2 linked regions of the Caenorhabditis elegans genome follow. The protein of the gene in region 1 interacts with the protein of each later gene in a pairwise test. Each region holds a gene or a part of one and is shown on either strand. Other genes may lie near its edges.

Evidence for each region.
Region 2: the proteins of zyg-8 (region 1) and tac-1 interact in binary tests that used the Caenorhabditis elegans proteins (3 or more experiments, as listed by UniProt).

What each region holds. Positions count from the first base shown.
Region 1 is NC_003281.10:12,060,034-12,063,787, reverse strand, and holds the start of zyg-8 (Serine/threonine-protein kinase zyg-8), read right to left. Parts: upstream 2,076-3,754; 5' UTR 2,050-2,075; coding exon 1,863-2,049; intron 864-1,862; coding exon 1-863. UniProt on the Caenorhabditis elegans protein: Probable kinase. Kinase activity may be involved in positioning of spindle poles in meiosis and mitosis. Plays a role in spindle positioning during asymmetric division of one-cell stage embryos.
Region 2 is NC_003280.10:14,752,237-14,755,830, forward strand, and holds tac-1 (Transforming acid coiled-coil-containing protein 1), read right to left. Parts: upstream 1,642-3,594; 5' UTR 1,640-1,641; coding exon 1,411-1,639; intron 1,348-1,410; coding exon 1,011-1,347; intron 959-1,010; coding exon 742-958; 3' UTR 655-741; downstream 1-654. Other genes in the region: smg-9 (Nonsense-mediated mRNA decay factor SMG9), read right to left, coding at 23-253; Y54E2A.4 (Activating signal cointegrator 1 complex subunit 3), read left to right, coding at 2,433-2,469, 2,529-2,749, 2,797-2,994. UniProt on the Caenorhabditis elegans protein: Involved in microtubule formation, polymerization and assembly, regulating microtubule nucleation and length. Plays a role in pronuclear migration and mitotic and meiotic spindle elongation during early embryogenesis.

The DNA of each region.
Region 1 (3,754 bases):
CTTCACCCCATTCCGAATAACCTTGATAATTCGTGGAAACACGAAATCCGTATTCTCATGACACGGCTCTACGACACTCAACGCCAGCTTCTTCGTCTCCAAGTGTCGATTGTATCGATTGGCAAGTGTCAGACGCCAACTTGGCTCGGCGGCTCTCGAATAATCGACCGGTTTGAAAGCGTCGGTACTCGAACACACATAACCACCGCCGTCTTCGAATTGATCTACGGAAGTGATGCGTTGAGCGCCGTCGATCGTGAAAATGTGACGGATTCCGTGTGGAAGAGCCGTCGAGTCACAGATTACAGTTTTCATCAAATCTTCCATAAGTGGTTGCATACTCTTCACCCGGTCACTTTGTAAAGCATACTGAATCCCTTTGAAATATTGATCCCCATTTCTATAGAACCGGAGTCGCTTGGCTTTCAGTAAATGCGGATACCCGGATGGCCCGATTCGACACCTCCGCTGCATTTCTGAGACCATATCCCTGGACTCTGCGAGCTCATCTCCATTCGTTCCCTCGGTTTCCATGGCACATACGGATGACGTCATTGACGCTTCCGCAGTGTTCGTGCCACTATTCGGCATGCTTCCCTGGGAAATTGCCGTTGGGAAGACGCTTGTCTGATTGAGATTAAGAGTCGATGCTCGTGGAGTTGTCAGTGTTTCTTCACTGATCACTGCGGTCTGATTGTGATGAATATGATGGTGGAAGTGTTGTTGAGGAAGATGCGAGAATCGACGATGTGCGGAGGATGTTGATGGAGCAGATGATGATGGACTGATCTTTCTATGAACAACTGGAGATGATGATGATGTCAAGACTGCGGAGAGAGGACGTGTCGAATGAGGGAGATGGGCTGGAAATTAGGATTATATTACACGGGAACACAAAAAAATATTTAACGCGCAAAATATCTCGTAGCGAAAAGAAAACTACAGTAATTCTTTATATGACTACTGTAGTGTAGATTTACAGGATCTCGATTCTTTAGATTCAATTATTTTCGAATAGTGATAACGATCAAGGGTGTCGGTTTTTTCGATTTTTGAAAATCGAAAAATCGATATTTCGAAATTTTTTCGATTTTTTAAAAATTCGCTTAAACTTTGATCATTGTTCTTATTTTTAGATGTTCTTTATCATGAATATATAAACAAAATTAGATTTTTAAAAAATCATATCTTATGGGTAATTTTCTGAATTTCGGAAAATAGAAAAATCGAAAATTTTAGGGGCCGCTTTTTCCGGCAAATCGGCCAATTTGCGGAAAATTTAAAATCCGGCAACTTTCCGATTTGCCGGAAAATTTAGGGGCCATTTTTTTCCGGCAAATCCGGCAATTTGTCGATTTGCCGGAAAAATCGTTTTCAACAGTCTGACGGTATTAATCATTTTTTAATAGCTTTTTACAAATAAAAATGTCTCTTTTTTCAAGTTTTCAACTCAGTACTATTGAAATTAAACAATCTATCCGTGAATTTTGCAAAAAAGCAGCATCGCACCGAAAAAGAGGCGGAGTGTAATTTCGTAATTTCGCAACCTTGCGGCACGGTTTTTTCTCTATTTTTTATTTGTCTTTTTTCGAATGAAAGTATTACCCAATTTACTTATTATTAGATTGTGAGGATATTTCATGGTTGTAAAAAAAATGAAATTAATCGAAAAAAAAAATTCAGAAAAAAAGGAGAAAAAACCGTGCCGCAGGGTTGCAAAATTACGCTCCGCCTCTTTTTCTGTGCGACGCTGCTTTTTTGTTGCAAAATTCACGGATTCATCATTAAAAAAAACCATATCCCGTAAGCTGAAGCAAGCAAGCCACCAACGGGGAAATTCAAGCCAAACACTCAATTCTTACGTCGTTTGAATCGTGGAATATTCGACGTTTTTCCAGCAGCGGAAACCCTCTTCGATACACGTGGCAATGTGTTGGCTCCATTCATAGATGCTCCATCCGATCCTCCAGCTTCAGATCCAGGTGGTGGTGGTGGTGGTGGTGGTCTAGCAGTTGTGTCGTTGAGCTGCCACGCCGACGTTTGTGGCATCGTTCGAGTAGAGATAGTCTAACACCGAAAAAAAACACCAAATTAGCGATAGTTAGGCGCAACCACGAGAGGAGGACGGAGCGGTGTCAGGCCGTCCCATTACGGTTTGATCTACCAAAAATGCGGGAGATGAGACGCAGATTTCTCAGCTGATTTAGCATCGAATGAGAGTGTACTGACGTCACATTTTCCTGGGGGAAAGTTCCCGCATTTTTTGTAGATCAAACCGCAATGAGACTGCCTGACACCACGTGGGGATATACCACGTGGCAACAGGCCGTCCCATTACGGTTTGATCTACCAAAAATGCGGGAATTTTTGGCCCAAAAAATGTGACGTCAGCACGTTCTTAACCATGCGAAATCAATTGAGAAATTTGTGTCTTTTCTCCCGCATTTTTTGTAGATCAAACCGGAATGGGCCTTGGATATGAAAAAGAGAAAGGAATGCAAAATCAAAAGATTGGACAGAAAATGAACTAAAAATCGAGGAGGACAATTCCAATCGGGTATGGTGCAAGTGCTATAGACGGGAATTAATCTTTTTTTTTGTTATTTTAGAAAAACAATTTTTTTTTCTGAAAAAAAAGTGGAAAATTCAAATTTTTTTGAGATTTTCTGAGCAAAATTAAAGTTTTCTGGGAAAAAAAATTTTTGTCGGGGATTCAAATTTTCCGAAAAAAAATTTGGCGGGAAATTTAAAAATTTTAGAATTTTTTGGCGGGAATTCAAATTTTCGGAGAAAATATCTATTTTGGCGGGAGATTCAAATTTTCTGTGAAACAACTATTTCGTCGGAAAATTCAATTTTTTTTCGAGAAAAAAAACCTATTTAGGCGGGAAATTCAAAATTTTTTTAATTTTTTTTTGGCGGGAAATTCAAATTTTCGGAAAATATCTATTTTGGCGGGAAATTCAAATTTTCCGAAAAAAAAATTTGGCGGGAAATTTTTTTTTATTTTTTCGAATTTGTTTTGGCGAGGATTCAAATTTTCTCTTAAAATAATTTTGGCGGGAAATTCAAATTTTCTGAGAAATTTTTTTTTTCGATTTTTTAAAGATTTTTGAAGCAAAATTTCCATCAGGCTGTCCCATAACGGATTGATCTACAAAAAATGCGGGAATTTTTCGCCCAAAGAAATGTGACGTCAGCACGTTCTTAACCATGCGAAATCAGTTGAGAACTCTGCCGCATTTTTTGTAGATCTAGGTAGATCAAACCGAAATGAGACGCCACGTGACACCAAAAAAAAGGAGATAATTTTACTATGCTATGACTAGCTGACAATTCGAATCATTGTCCAAAATGAGCTGTCCGCGAGCATTGGTCTCCAAAATGCATGGAATGTCGAATGTGGGAATTAACTAGGCGTGCACACAGAGAGCAGTGAGCAGTGAGCTGCTTCTCGTTTTCCTCTCATTCGAAAGAGCTAAAGGGCAGACGGGTGTTGTTGTGGGTTGATTTGGCTGACGGGAGGGGCGCGCGCGAGCCAACGCAGAGCCGGGGGACGGAATAGACGAGGGATTAGTTAGGGGGTATCCGGAGGGACCACAGAGCCAATTAAACAGCTTCTCATTTGTGCAGCGCCACCTGCGTCTCCGCCGAAAAAGGTGCGGTTTGTGATAAGAATATTACACGGATTTCTGGCTTCCCTCCATAAATTGAAATGGAAGAGTTTTTTGCCGAACTAGGCCAGGCCAAATCT
Region 2 (3,594 bases), on another chromosome or scaffold:
ATTATTAAAATAAAAAACACACTGAAATCGCATCGGAAATCTCTCCGAAATCCGTCAAAAATCGCACAGACTCCTTCATCGCTTTTTGCGATGGCTCGATGACCGTAGCGGCGGTAGGCGCCACGTCATCGGCCACCGGACGTGTTTTGATGGCGATTTTCGGTGCTCCATGAGTTGGGCTCGCTGTGGAGGGTCGGGCAGCGCCTCCTGCAGATGATGGCCGAGATGTTTTCAGAATTTCCACTTTTTTCATCTGGAAAATTGCAAGATTTTAATAGAAATTTTGAAAGTTTTGCATACATTTTAATCAAAAAATTCGCTCAAAATCCATGCGGCAGTCTGAAAAGAGGTGTGCGCCTTTAAAGATTACTGTAGGAATTTTATTGACTTTTATTACAAAAACCTCGTAACAACGCATAAATTGTTTGGAAAAACAAGTGAGAACTAAAAAAATCAAAACAAATTCGGCCTGGAAATTACAGTACACTTTAAAGGCGCACACATGCTTGCATTTGGCAAATGTTTTTCGTGTCGAGACCGGGCGCTGTATCTTTGGCGCGAAAATTTAGAAGATTGTAGTTTTTCTCGGTAAAATACTGAAACGAAGCCTTTTGTACTTGTTTCTCATACAAATAATCTGGAAAACAAATAAATAAGCTGAAAAATTCATGTACAATTAGAAAATATAAGGCGGAAAGCGAAAAGGCGGGGGGAAGAAATATTATATTTTACAGAAATAAATTATGCATCCGTCGAAATAACGGACATCCCATCGGAAACGTCGACATCATTCAGAAGTTGATCGCAAATCTGTGAGAGCTCCGACACGCGGTTCGTGAGCACCTTGATCTCGTCGTTCTTGCTGGAGAGCTCGATTTCCTGGCGTTTTACACGCAGACGGAGTCCCTTTGTGTTCTCATCGTGGGATCGGAGAAGATCGTCGTACTCCACGGATGCTCTGAATTGAAATATATTCTTACATGTTGCAAATTAAATTTTCTCTCACTCACCTCTCAAGCTCAGAATTCGCATTATCCTTGACGGCGAGGAACTTTGCCTGCCACTCGTCAACTTCGGCGGCGGCGAGCTTCAGCTTGTCCCTCGCGTCCTCGTACTCGCCGCGGATGTCGTTGGCGGCTTCGCGAACCGTGTTGAACGAGGCGAACAGTGTCGCGTAGTTGGCGTGGAGCTTGTCGGCTTCGGCACGGGCGGCATCTCGATCTTTCAGCGCTTTTTCGAGCTCCTCGCTTGATGCCCCGCCGCCTCCGATGCCGTTTCCTGGCGTTGTTCCGTTGCAGCGGCCTTGTGAGATGATTTGGCCGTTTGAGCAGCGACGGACTTCGAATTCTGAAATTAATATGGTTTTATTCCTCTTAAAATCTCTTTTAGCAATTTTTCAAAGCTTCTCACCATCCGAGTGCAAGAGCCGCTCGATCAACTCTGTGAGCGCCTTCGTCGTGTGCTTCATCACAATGATGTCGCCTCTCGTGGCACCGCACAGTGTCTCCACTGAAGAACTGGGCTCCGCGGCTTCTTCAACCTCTGGCTCCTCGTTCTCCGGATGCCCATTTTGCGACCCGTTGAATGGGATGACGACCTCGGTTCCGTCCTCTTTGGTGAAGGTTGTGTTGAGCGACATCTGAAAATCGGATGAATTTAATAGAAAAAACCGACATTTTTCGTGAAAAACGGAGAAAATTAACGATTCTTCAGTTTTCCCGCGTCATCATTTATTTTCGTGGTAGGAAAATTGTTTTGAAGATTAGTATGCGCCTTTAAAACTTCTGTAGTTCAATTTTCTTGTTTTACAAGGCTTTACAAGAGGGTTTCAAAATAATTGAAACAAATTTTTAATTAAAAAAGTCATTTTTTAATTTTTAATTCAAAAAAAATCAGTAAAAACCATAACCAACAACAAAAAAAGCACGAAAAAAGAGTCCACAAGAGTAATCGTGGCGGGAAAATCAATACAAAAATTGGACTGCGCCTTTAAAAAGTACTGTAGAATTTTTTTAAAAACATTTTTTGTTATCTTTCAATTTTCAATGTTTCTCTTCATTTTAAACTATTTTAATGATTAAAAACACATCTTTATTGCGAAAAAAATTAATATAATACACTTTTGCATAAAAAACCGCCAAATAAAAGTGCAGTTGGCCTAGAAAGCGCTAGGTCAGAGAAGGGAAGCGGCCAGGACCTTATTTTGTTCATTTTTATTAATTTTCACCTTAAAACAGAGAAAAAAACAAAAATATTTGGCAATTAAACAAAATAGAAATTAAAAGTAATTAAAACTTAAAACTTCAGAAAAAAATCGATTTTTCAAAAATTGCGAAATTTTGAACAATGTTTGAACATCCTTCTCTCTTGAAAAATATAGTTTTTCATTTTAATTTTAATTCTAATTTTACAGCTGCCAAACTAGGTACAAAATGGATCTTCTCAACTATATCGAACGAATTGGAGATGGTTAGTTAGCTTTTTTTCCATTTTTTTATTAAAAAAATTTTTACCAGATGTTTTTTCAGATCCACCCTCACCATCACGGGTAGCAAGCTTCCACCAGGAAATTCAAATTCGATTTCCATCGGAATTTCTAGAATGGTCGAATTGTGAAGCTGAACAAGAAGGTTTTTCAGAAGCTCCAGAAGCTCTTTCCCTACCCCAAGTGCCTTCTACCTCGGGCTCTGGGAGCATTTTTCAGCCGATTGCTGACACATTGCTTATATATTTTCCAGATACGTTTGAGGTTGATTTTCGGCTAAAAAATCAAGTTTCTAACCTATTTTCCTTCAGACAATATCCCAAAACCTTCTACAAATGTTGTGCTCGACACGTTCCGATATGGATCTACAGGGCGAGCTCATCGATCTTCTCGGCGTCGAATTGTTCGAATTAGCCGGAGATATACTCGAAAAACGGAATAAAATAGTTTTCGAGGTGAAGAGCCAGGAGCTGGCGAAAGTTGAGCATGCGAGGCAGGCGAAGGCGAAGGTAATAGTTTTGAAAATTTTAAAAATTTGCTCTAAATGGCAGAATATAACAGTGAAAAAATTTATAAAAATTTTCTAATTTTTTTTTGATTTTTTGAATTTGGTTTTCTGGCTGTTTTTTTTATTTTTTTTCCATTTTTTACAATTTGGAACATAATTTGTCAATTTTTCGGACATTTTTCCACAAAAAACGTTTTTCAAAAATTAAATTATCGATTTTAGGCTAATTTTAGAGTTTCAACAAGTTTTTTACGGAAAAATTTCTGAAAATTTTATAAATTTTGTTTAAAATTGTGACATAACGAAAAATAAAGAAAAACCAGATAAAACAGTCGGAAAACGCAAAAAAGGCCAAAAAGACCAAAAAGCCAAAATCAGGCCAAAAAAAAGGTCAAAAGAACTGATTTTTTTTGAATTCCAGAGTAAAAAAAGTGACGTCACTTTCGCGTTCTCTGACTTTAATTGATTTTTCTTCAATTTTTCAGCAAATTTCATTACGAAAGAATGTCTGAAAAATCCACAAATTATGTTTCAAGTTATAAAACAGAGAAATATCAATTAAAATAGCCGGAAAAACGCAAAAATGTCGAAAATGACGTCA